Linked DNA regions of Kluyveromyces lactis. The protein of the gene in region 3 purifies or fractionates together with the protein of the main gene of each other region. This does not show direct contact. Links are inferred from orthologs where the notes say so. Each region holds a gene or a part of one and is shown on either strand. Other genes may lie near its edges.

Region 1 (4,394 bases), on a different chromosome or scaffold from region 3:
ACATCTTTGAAGCAACTGCCTACAAACCGTTTCAGAATAATTATCTATCATATGCAAACACTTGATAACATCTTCGGCTGAAACTATTTCGCTTAAAACTCCCAGCGCAATGGTTCTGCGCTGTGATTTTTCAGAAGCAGCAATTGTCTTGAATAAATCAAAGGCATATTTGCTGAATTCATCATACTCAATATCGAGCTGACTATAAATTTGTTGAAGGCCATTAACAACGTATAAGAATAAGTCAAATGAATCGCTGTCTATATTAGGCAACTCACCATCAAACAAATGAGAAAAATAACTTTTCTTAACGACACGTTTCTTAAACTTCATATCACCTAATGCATAATTACCCACCTTGGACAATAGGTTATCAATAGTTTCCTGTACCTGCGTAGAAAGTAAACTGCCTGACATCGTTTTCTTTAGACGGAAAATAATAGCAGCTACATCAAAAGAATTCACAGGGAATCTGCTCATTTTGCTTAACTTCGGGGAATATTGCAACAAAATGTGATCATAGCTAGAAGTTGAATCATTTGAAAACAAAAGGTATTCCGGAGATGATACTTTCTTAATGATCTCGTCAGTAAAGGATAAGTACAATTCGACAAGATTATGAGGTATACTTTCAACGTTAGAAAGTAGATTTCTAATACCTACTTCAGACTCTCCTAGCACCAGCATATTTCTGAAAAATATAAGTAACCACTTGACGATAACTGACTCTTTTGGGTTATCAATTTGGACAAATTTCCATTGTTCAACAAGTGTCAAAAGGAAAGGTGATAGATTCTCATATTGCCTTGCCATATCAACATACTTATACGGAGTCTTATGACATCTAGAAATGGCTTCATCCAATAGTTTCAAAATCTTCATGTGCTCCGAGGTGGAAAAAGAGGAACCAGTACTTGACAAAAGCGATAAACTATTAATTAAAGCTGAAATTGGAGAACTTATTAGCTCTTTCATCTTGAAAATATTACTGAACTGTACCAAATTGAATAGTAAATTCGATATTCTAGAAGTGACGATTGATGAAGCGTTTTTCGAAGATGCGAGCCTTAAAAGCGATGTGAATAGAGAGTTTTCGTTATTTGAGGCATTCCACCACTTGATTTGGGAGTTATTTAGTTCCTGGAACTTCATGAAATTATCAAGGATAACCAAATCCATTCCTGAAAATTGATCACTTTTCATAATATCAACATATATGTTGCTAGCTGGTAAATTGACGTTGAAGAAGTTTGGGAATATTTTACTATAGTAATTGAGGATAACGGTTAAGGACAAAGGTAAAATTTTGTTAGTTGGGGATTCCGTGTATAAGATATTCAAAACTGTCGTCAAAACGGGTAAATCTGGCAAGTACGAAAAATAAGCATTTAAGAGCATTGCCTTTGAATTATCCCATCCCTTTTCGTTGTACAAGTCCAGCACTTTATCCAATTTCTTCAATGAAAATACCAACAATTGACTTCCCATCTGTCTGATTAGATTTACTTTGTTTTGCAGACATTTCGTAAGAGCTGTTTTCGTTAAAGTAGAAGGAATAATCGACTCCACGACAATTGTTGTGGATGGAAGACTATCAGAATCTACTGTTTCGACGTATTCTGGAATGGGAAGATTGATCATTCTACCCAAAAACAATGTCATACCAAACCAATAAGCTGTCATCTTTGGGTCATGTGATCCCATAGATGACACGTACGTTGAGTAAGGAGCCACCAACTCTGGGACGTTACCTAAAATTTTTATGACTGTATTACATTGTGTATCATCTTCCCATGGCTTAAAAAATGTTAATGTGGTGTATAATAACTTGTTGTGTAACTTGAATACCTTCTGGTTAATTACCACAGGAACGCCTGACTTCAAGTTTGAACTATCCTCAAACCAAGAAGTTTTGTCGGTAAATACGACACCAAAGTCCGTATCGCCACCATAGATTTGAAAGAATTCATCTATCAAGGAAACAATGGCTTTATTTGGAGAATAGTAAAACTCATGCAACCTATTCACAACGAACTCATTTAAAATCTTACTCTTGGTCATCTTCCTAAAACTCGTTTCTTTTAGAATGCAATCAATAAATAGATGTAGAGATTCCTCGATAAGTTCAACAGAGTCCATTTTAACCATATTCTTAACCCACGCGGTCATAATTTTCTGATTGTCACTGAGAATATCCTTCCTTAGTACCGCCGGTGCGTTCTTAACTAGTGTTATCCAAAATTTAACGAAGTTGGACCTCATAGAGATGTGAGTTGATTTCCTAGTAGCTTCAATATCTGGGTTATCAAGCTTTCTTGGATTCAAAACCTTCAACAATGCTACCAACGTCAAATCGAAATATGACAAAAATTCATCAACGAACTGGCCTTTATTAAACTGTACAATCTCTGTCATTAACCCAAATACTGAATTCGTTATCGAAGGACGCAGATTATTGATACCTCTGTAAAGAACTTTACAGTAATTATTAAGTATATCACGGATAATAACGGATCCGTATTGCACAACACTGGTATTCGAATTCAAAATGGCAATTAGTTTTTTGAGCTTTATAGTAGTTTCAGCAAACTTAGCATGTTCATTCACCTGTGCATAATATGACCAACCTTGTGTGCATTGCACAGCAAGTCCCTTTTGGAAAAACTCAGCTACAGGGCGGTAATTATTGGAAACATCAACATTGAGTAAATCAATACCGTTGATAAGAATCTGCAGGTCATCAAATAAACCACTGCTCACATTACTAACACTTGGAAGGTTCTGTTTCCATTTCCTTTTTCTGGTCCCTAACATGGAGCCGTCGTCGTTATTCATAGCGCAAACACAATGTAGTTTCTGTTCAAAAAACGCTAGATATTAACGGCTTATATATATTACAATAAACCAGCACACTTTCTTGAAGTTTTAAAATGAACCAATGCTACTGTCTTACATAGATTTTAGTAAAACAAAGTGATGATTGTATATGCCCAATCGATGCGATGAGCTTGATCAACATTTTTTTCTTCCATTCTACGCTAAAAGAAACAAATTTTCCAAATATGACGGGGCGTCATGCGATTTTCACGTGACATAATTAATTAATAGTAACTTATCACCTTGCATATTCCCTCACCTGCTTGTAAGACAATCCATAGTCTTATATATGCTGCTTTAGATAGCTGGGATATGATACATGTAACAATAAGGTCACTCAAGGATAGATATTAGCGTTTATTGTTGCTTATTATGCAAATTATGTACTATTTTTACAAAAGATATAAACAATATCGGTTGACAGAATGAAAAGCTTGGAATTGATTAACATCGATGAGTTACTTCCAGAGTTCCAGAACAGCTTCGTCAAATCTTTAACTTTTCTTCGAAGTACATCGTTTAATTGGATCCACGAAGAGAGATGTTCGCACATAGGTTTTTGAAAGTCTCAAGAAGAGCGTATTCAGAAGTTGCAACCAATGCAACCAACGGCGCAAAGAAGTCCAGATTTGATAAGTCAGCTATTAAACCATTAATTTCACTATTGATATTCGGATCTGTGTTAACAAGTGTTTCAGCCCAACAGCAGAGACATGCTGATATGGTTAGAAGATATGAGATGAAGATTAAGATTCTACAGGATTTGATCGACCGTACGAAGCAAGGCGATTTCAATTACAATGCGGAGAAGGAACTAGAATTAGTTAACAAGCTATTCGCTCGTCATGAGCTGGGTAATTCTGTTGATTTGGAAAGAGAAGCTAAGATGATACGTGAACGTGCGGCCAAAGAGATTATTGATCGTGAAAGGGTAATAAAAGGCATGAATTCACAAATTGAAGAAGAATCACTGGAAGATATCTTTCAGGATATCATGAAAGATATCGATCAACCAAATAGCAGCATCGCAGCTCCGACGAAAAAATTAGATAGTGATTCTATGAAGAAGGGTTCTGACGATATTATTGTAGATAAGGAATGGCTAGATTATGAGAGACAAAGAGAACAGAAAAGATTAGCATTCAAACCTTCTACTGAGAAGCATGTTATCGTAGAGAACCCTGGTGAATACAACATCGCAGCAGAAGAAACTAAAGTCAAGAGATTTTTGTAGGGTGTGCCAACTAATATCTTTGTAATTGGTGAAAATTGTTCACTTCATTTACATGACTTCTAAATGAATATATATGTATATATATATGGTTACAACGAATGAAACGAAATATATCAGAACTTAACTTCATTTGTGACCTTTGTATCATCATGGACCACATCCTTTTCTTCGAGGGGAGCACTGCCATTAGAAGGAGTATTAATTTTGGGTCTCACTTCACTTCTTGGTGGACTCTTTTTCAAATCCTTACGAGGACTTTCATGGGAGTGAGTTGTTCCAGTAG
Region 2 (4,105 bases), on a different chromosome or scaffold from region 3:
ATTGGATTTATGACTCTGTAATAGAAAAAGGCAAAGAAACGTCACAAAACATCATAGCATCGCTACAGCATTCGATGGAAAATCCAGAATTAGCTTGAACGGACAGCTTAAGAAGCTTTATCTTCCCCGTCAATTGCCATCATTGTTCCCATATCATAAGGATCAGCTTTATCATCTTATTACTTTTATCACGCCATTATTACCATTAGCACTCTATTTTTATTTTCATTTCAGTGAAATGATGATGAAAATCAGAAAAAACACAAAGACAAATGCCATTGCAGTTATTTTTTTATACGTTTCCTTTGTCCATTCATTAGGATACCAATTGTCATTGTCTTACGAATATATAGATATTCTTCGCTATCGCTACTTAGAAAGAAAATCTCGTTTGTCTTATTCAACTTTTGAAATGTACAAGTTTGAGTTATTTTTAGGCAGGTCAATGGGTTCGTATCTATGACCCTAATGTCCCTCTAAAACTACACCTTGTATTTCGAGGTAATCAACTCGACTTGAACCTCTTCTCTTGTATGCACAATGAAAAGAAGAAGAAGTATAGTAGAAGTATTCCTTTACCAAGAGTTGTTCTCAATACGTAACTTACCTTGTTCACCTCGAGCTGGTGCATCTGAAACCATGAGTTTCCAATCAATTCATGCAAATGCACGTCTATTTCTGCCCCAAGAATGTATATGTATGTGTGTCAATGCTTATTGATGCATGCACCATTGGCAACTAATGGCACCATTGGCTTCCACCATGCACGTCGTTTGTGCGGGTAATGGCGAGGTCCCAAAAAACATTCTTTAATTGGGATTGATTCCAGTAAAGAAATTCCAATGCAGAGAGGCGGATACTTGAGGGAAGTACATACATTGTGCAACTTTTGATTCAACTTACTTTCACGCTTTACCTACTCCTGAGCATGTCCATTGGCTCGTAACGCTCTCGGCAAACCATGTGACAAGCAGATTCCCCGCTTCTTGGTCTCACTACTACATAGAATGCTTTTGTAAATACTAAACGAGAGAGACAAACTCATTACCCGGATAATCGTTAATCACGTGATGAAAAGAAACGACAAAAATTTTCTACCTTTACACCAAAATCAAGCTCATCTCATCTCATCTCATCTCATCTCATCTCAACTCTTATTATGCGCTCAGACTGTGTTTGTTGATATACACAGAGGCCACTTCTCTGTTTGTCGTTTGATTGATCTATTGCTTGGAAAGAAGCAACACTCGATAACAAGTGCAAATCTGGAATGAGTCTTGATTTATCCAAATTGAAGGAGAAAGTGTCCTCCAAATTGGGAGCTTCAAAGGCCAAAGACACTAAGCCTAAGAAGAGTAAGAAGCAGGGCGAAAAAGAGACAGACGTTACTCCAGCTAAAGAGGAAACTGCTGTCACCAATGAAGAATTGATCCGTGAAGCTCTGTCTCTTGGAGCCTCTGAAAAAGATGTCCAGCTTGTTGATGGTGTTGACGACGATGCCAGTGAGATTGAATTCAATGAAGCCGATGAAGAAGTTGATGACGAGTTTAAGAGCGATTTCAGTGCTTTATTGAAGAATATGGGATTCGATAAACTACCTGAACCTGAAGTTGTAGAAGAACCAACAGTTACTGAGGATGCAGGCAAAGAAGAGAAAGATATTGAAGAGGAGGAGGTAGAAGTTGAAGAAGAAGAAGAAGAAGAGACGGTAGAGAAAGAGGAGGAACCACTTAGTCCTAAACCAGCAGAAAAAAAAAAGGAAGATCAATCCGACATGATCACTCAAACTCATATTGTTCAAAGTGATAAATTACTTGTTCCATCAGATTTGTTGTGGTACGAAGTTCCTTTGGACCCTGAATTAACAAGAGAACAGGATCCGCTAACGAAAGAACAGATAGATAAGTTATACCAGCGTGGTAAAGAGGCCTTAGAATTAGATAACACTAATTACTACGAAGAATTTACCAAGAACTCATCTCAACGTAAGTTTATGTCCCAGATCTTAAGCGATGGTACGTTGAACGATAAAATTAGTGCTTTGACTTTATTGCTACAGGAATCTCCATTGCATAATATCAAATCTCTTGATTCTTTGATATCCTTTTGCGGGAAGAAGTCAAGAAATTCCGCATTACAAGCTTTGAATGCTCTGAAGGATTTGTTCTTAAATGGTCTGTTACCTGACCGCAAGTTAAAATACTTCAAGAACCAAAACCTTTCCATGCTACTGAATAAGAGAACTTTAGCTATTTTATATTTTGAGGATTACTTGAAGGGTCTATATTTCAAGATTTTGGAAATCTTTGAGAAATTATCCCATGATCCTATCATCTATGTCAGAATGCAAGTGCTAACACATATCTTTGACCTGCTAACAGCCAAACCAGAACAGGAATTCAACTTGTTGAAACTTGGTGTTAACAAATTAGGTGACATTGATAACAAAGTAGCGTCAAAGGCTTCCTTCAAACTTTTGAAACTTGAAACTCAACATCCAAATATGAAATCAATTGTGGTAGACGCTGTTGTCGATATTGCCATAAGGCCTCAAGCTGACTATCATACTACATACTATTCCGCATTGACACTTAATCAAACAATTTTGAAACGCTCCGAGAAGAATCTAGCAAATCAGCTAATCAAGACCTATTTCACTTTATTCGAGAAATTCTTAATCCAAACTGATGCTGATAACGAGGAATCAAAGAGTGAAATCAAGGAATCCGATAAGTCATATGAAAAGAAGAGAAAGAAGAACTTCAAGAAGGGTAAAAAGGGTGGTAAGTCTGTCATTGAAGAAAAAAGTGCTCAAGAAGTTATCGAGGAAAAAAATACCAAATTATTCGGTGCTATTCTAACTGGTTTGAATCGTGCTTTCCCATTCTCTGATATGCCGGGATCCGTGTACGAGATACATCTTGATACATTGTTCAAGATAACACATGCGTCTAATTTCAACACTTCAATTCAAGCATTAGTATTGATTCACCAGGTTGTCGTGAAGACAAACATCACAAGTGATAGATATTACAAGACATTATACGAATCCCTACTCGACCCAAGATTGGTGTCGTCATCGAAGCAAGGTATTTACTTAAACTTGCTTTACAAATCTTTGAAAGATGATAAAGACATTGGAAGAGTGGATGCTTTCGTAAAACGTATATTGCAAGTCTGTGCCCATTGGTTGAACATCGGTGCCATTAGTGGTATGTTCTTTTTGTTGATACAACTTTCAAAGAGTTTACCGCAGATCAGAAATGTTCTAATCAACTCACCACTAGACTCTGTTTACGAATCTGATGACGAAGATTCCAGGGATAAAACTAAGGAAAAACCTGGTTACGATAGCCGTAAACGTGATCCAAAATATGCCAACGCTGAAAATTCATCGCTTTGGGAGATAAATCAATTCTTGTCCCATTTCCATCCTACTGTGCAGTCGTACGCACAAGGGTTCTTCGACGGTGACACTCAAGAAACAAGAGAGTTAGTCAAACCCGATCTTGGCCTATTCACGTTAGCCCATTTCTTGGATAGATTCGTGTACCGTAACGCCAAGCAAAAGCCAACCACTAGAGGTTCATCTATCATGCAACCTTTGGGAGGTGTACACACTGGTTCGTTATTAGTGAAGGCCAGCGATACCACATTGCACGAAGTACCTGCTAACACGGAGAACTGGTTAAGTAAGAAGGTGCAAGATATCAAGCCAGATGAAAAGTTCTTCTATCAATATTTCTCTACAAAGACTAATGCCATCAAATCTACCAAGTCAGGTGCAGAGGATGAAAACGGTACAGCTGAATTCGACGAGGAAAGCGATTTGGACGAAGATGAAATTTGGGATGCTTTAGTGAAGTCAAGACCTGACGTCGAAGGTGACGAAGAGGACAGCGATGTTGAGTTCAGTGAGGACGATTTCTCACAGGATGATTTCGGATCGTCATCCGAAGATGTCGATATTGATCTCAAAGACCTTGCATCTTCGGGAGACGAAGATGAGGCATCAGAAGCTGATCTTGAAGCTGAAGAAGGTGAACCAGAAGACATCAGTGACTTCGATCCAGAAGAGGCCAAATTGTTTGAAGATAACCTCGAA
Region 3 (4,087 bases):
TTGAATCTGTCTTTAGTCATGTATCTTGAGTTCGTCAAGCAAGGTAGAGGTATAACTAGAAACAAATACGTTTTCTTGTTACATTTCAGAAACTGTTTGAATCGAAGTATCATTTGGCCTCTTTGAAGGGGTGTCGGCACGAAATTCAATACAAGTGAGCATGATATCAGGTCAAATCTCTGCGATTCATCCTTTGGTAATGGTCTTTTCATGAAATCCTGCCTTTCAATATTTACAGTATCATTTGAGTTAAGATCAATCCTAACAACGGGATTAAAGAGACCACACACAGAAATATGATTTTTCGCACTAAGGGATCCCAATTCCAACGCATTCATACCCAGAGCTTTATCCACCCCGAGTTCTTTGCACCACTTTACCAATTGTTTAGATGAATCACCACCTCTGTTGGAATCCTGACCAACTGTACTAGCAAATTGGTAATTCTGCAAACCGCCATCTTCTTCAATTTCTCCACATATATAACCAAGAATTTGACATAATTGCTGACTGTGTTCAATGCTTTGCACATGAACAAGTAATTCCTCTAATCTTGGATTTGGTCGTCTAGACTTTTTGCCCTTATTAAAATCTTCCTGTAAAGTTTTATTCTTTCGGAAAAAATTCTCAATATTAATAGCGTTGGCCTCTTCATCGTTTTCTACTATATCACATCGCAGCTTGTTGCATATCACTCTTCTCTTCTGAATCAATAGATGGAAACGTCTAATTATCTTCCTGGCCTTGGAAGGTTTGATCTTCGGTACATGTTTCGCAACAGGTTTTCCAGTTATGGTCCTCTTTCTTCGAGAGAGCATTGGAACAACGTAATAAGATTTTTCACGTATAAGTTGAGGGTTATAACCCGAGTGGCCCTTACCTGTTTTGTTGAGAGATGCTCATCTCGCTTCAATACCATCATGTTTACCAGACGGTTATGTAAGAGTTGGACAGTTTTTAAGACATATCCGGGTAACATAAATAGAATCGTTTCTTTTCGACTTTCTAGAAAATCTTGAGAAAGAAGCTCCAAGAGATGAGATGAGATGAGATAGAAGAGATACCAGCATACGTGTGCATGAACAATAAGTTTCTCGGTAATTAATTGTTGTCGACCTCATTCTGTATAAGAAAAGGACAGAAATAATAATGGTATACGGTGTTTCAAAAATGGCGAATAAGAATCGCAAGAACTTGAAGCCTGTTAAAAGTGATAGGAAAGACCGTATTTCAAAGAATCATTCAAAGAAGAAGGTTAATAAGAATAGCCTTAAGAAAGTAGCCACTACAGATATCACTGTTAATGCTAATGAGTTGAATTGGAAGAGTGTTGATATTCCAGATACTTTAGATGATTTCGGTGGTTTCTACGGATTAGAAGAAATCGATGGTGTGGATGTGAAAGTTGTCGACGGTAAAGTCCAGTTCATCACGAAAGATAACAAGAACGTTAAGAAAGAGCCGGAGCAAGTGGAGGAAAAGGATAATATCGTTTTCCAAGAGGATGATGAAGATGTCAACATGGATGAATTAATTGAATTCAAGAATTTTGACGATATCAAGGAGGGTGAGTTAAGTGCAGCTTCGGATGATGAAGAGAGCGAGTTCCATGTGTCCACTGAAGAAGAAGGAGAAGAGGGAGAAGAAGCAGAAGATCAAGAAGAAGAAAGATCCGAGAAGGAAAATGTTAAGGGGGAAGCAGGTACTGTTGTCACTGAAGATCAAACAAATGATGACTTATTACAGAGCAACGTATTTTCCTCTAACGTCGATATCGATGATCAAGAGCCTCCAGTACTTCCTGAGTGGTCCGAAAATATGGATCTCTCATTCACAGTGCTGAAAGGACTCTCTGGGCTTGGCTTCACCAGGCCTACAGAAATTCAATTGAAATCTATTCCTTTAGCTCTGAAAGGACATAATATCATGGGTAAGGCTAGCACAGGTTCCGGTAAGACTTTAGCATATGGTATTCCTATCATTGAACAATTAATTAAAGACACATCAAATGATAGGTCTATCGGCTTGATATTTACCCCAACTAGAGAATTGGCCCATCAAGTAACTGACCATTTGCAAAAGGTTTGGACGAAAATGAATAAGCTTAACAAGTACACGATTCTTTCACTAACAGGTGGTTTGTCGATTCAGAAACAAGAACGTATCTTAAAATATGATGGTTCTGGTAGAATCATTGTGGCAACTCCTGGTAGATTTTTGGAATTATTAGAAAGGAACCCAGATCTGATTCCTAGGTTTGCCAAAATTGACACTTTAGTTCTTGATGAGGCAGACAGACTACTACAAGACGGACATTTCGATGAATTCGAGAAAATTTTGAAGTTATTAGGGAAAGCCCGAAAAATTAAAACAAGTATCGACGGAAAGCCAACTGGAAGTGGATGGCAAACAATGATTTTCTCTGCCACATTTTCATTGGATCTTTTCACGAAATTAGATAAAACTTCATGGAAAATCCTTAAAACAGCCGGTGGGGAGAACAATGAAATGGAACAAGTTTTAAATCATTTGATGAAGAAAATTCAATTCAAATCTAAGCCAGTTATTATCGATACTAATCCTGAACATAAAGTTACATCTCAGGTCAAAGAATCCCTGATAGAATGTTTGCCAATGGAGCGTGACTTATATGTCTACTACTTTATCATGATGTATCCTGGCACAACTTTAGTATTTTGTAACGCTATAGATAGCGTCAAAAAGTTGAATGCATTTTTAAACAATCTAAAGATTTCGTCATTCCAGATCCATTCATCAATGGCTCAAAAAAATCGTCTTAGGAACCTTGAAAAGTTCAAAGAACAATCAGAGAAAAATAGCAAGGTAGGAAAACCAACAATTTTAATTGCTAGTGACGTCGCTGCTAGAGGATTGGACATCTCGGGTATCAAACATGTTTTACACTATCACTTACCCCGCAGTGCTGACGTATATATCCACAGAAGTGGAAGAACAGCCCGTGGTGATAATGAAGGTGTTTCTGTCATGATTTGTTCACCACAGGAATCCATGGGACCTTTAAGAAAGCTCAGAAAGGTGTTATCTACCAAGAAGAGTAGTAACCCCAGGAAAACAAAATGGCAGAATGATGTCCCAATGTTACCACTTGAGCCTGACATCGTTTCTCAGCTGAGAGAAAGAAGCAAGATAGCGAGCGAACTTGCTGATGATGAGATAGCAACGAAATCACTACATAAGGATGATAATTGGTTAAAAAAGGCTGCTGAAGAATTGGATATTGAATTAGATTCAGAAGAAGAGGAAAAGGACCAATTTTTAGCTAGAAACAAAACCAAAAAGTTGAATAAACAGTTGGAAAAGAATGAAAATAAGGCTCTAAAATACCAGCTCAACGAGTTATTAAAAATGCCACTAAGAAAAGATTTAAGAAAAAGCTATCTAACAGGAGGTCTGACCAATCTCGCTGACACTTTAGTCAAACATAAAGGTCACAATTCCATTATTGGACATGATAAAGTGGATGCATTGCAAACACTCAAGGGCAAGAAGCATAAATGAAGCCCTTTATCTGCTATAGAGAAATAAAAATAGGAAAACATATATATTCCCAATACAACAGTCGTTGTCGGAGTGTGAAGAATGTTTGAATTGCATGAAAAATATGTAATGTCTTGCAAATACAACTTAATCAAATATATCTTGGTGATACTTATGATAAAGAAAAGAATGAAAAGAAAGATATATATTTATAAACACTATTTATACATCGCTTGACTGAAGAGGTTTAAATGAAATCGTAGTCATCATCATCTTCATTTTCATCATAATATTCATCATCTGAATCTTCCATCAATTGTTCGAAGTTGACTTTATAACGAAGTAGCGCACCAATACCACCGAAACCAGTAACGAATTGAGCACCTTCAGAGGATTTATCGGTAATGAATTCTAGATTGGCACCGTAGTTTTTGTAATTTTCCGCAAGCCATTCAATTAATGGTTGTTCAGAGACCAAGTCCATTTCTGCTCCGGTAGTTTTATCAAGAGAGTATGATTTGTCTTGTTCCTCTGGTTCGACGAATTTTAGTACTTCTTTATCTTCAGA

What was found.
Region 1: the proteins of MAK5 (region 3) and URB1 purify together in Saccharomyces cerevisiae (affinity purification with mass spectrometry; 4 studies listed by BioGRID). This does not show direct contact. The link is inferred for Kluyveromyces lactis from reciprocal best matches to the Saccharomyces cerevisiae genes MAK5 and URB1.
Region 2: the proteins of MAK5 (region 3) and MAK21 purify together in Saccharomyces cerevisiae (affinity purification with mass spectrometry; 5 studies listed by BioGRID). This does not show direct contact. The link is inferred for Kluyveromyces lactis from reciprocal best matches to the Saccharomyces cerevisiae genes MAK5 and MAK21.

What each region holds. Positions count from the first base shown.
Region 1 is NC_006041.1:1,618,076-1,622,469, forward strand, and holds the start of URB1 (Urb1p), read right to left. Parts: upstream 2,836-4,394; coding exon 1-2,835. Other genes in the region: INA22 (Ina22p), read left to right, coding at 3,419-4,111; DAL81 (Dal81p), read right to left, coding at 4,225-4,394. UniProt on the Saccharomyces cerevisiae protein: Required for 60S ribosomal subunit formation and pre-rRNA processing. Required for normal accumulation of 25S and 5.8S rRNAs.
Region 2 is NC_006041.1:1,108,034-1,112,138, reverse strand, and holds the start of MAK21 (RNA-binding ribosome biosynthesis protein MAK21), read left to right. Parts: upstream 1-1,270; coding exon 1,271-4,105.
Region 3 is NC_006039.1:966,520-970,606, reverse strand, and holds MAK5 (ATP-dependent RNA helicase), read left to right. Parts: upstream 1-1,149; coding exon 1,150-3,540; downstream 3,541-4,087. Other genes in the region: BMT2 (25S rRNA (adenine2142-N1)-methyltransferase), read right to left, coding at 1-818; SUP45 (translation termination factor eRF1), read right to left, coding at 3,767-4,087. UniProt on the Saccharomyces cerevisiae protein: ATP-binding RNA helicase involved in the biogenesis of 60S ribosomal subunits and is required for the normal formation of 25S and 5.8S rRNAs. Required for the maintenance of dsRNA killer plasmid.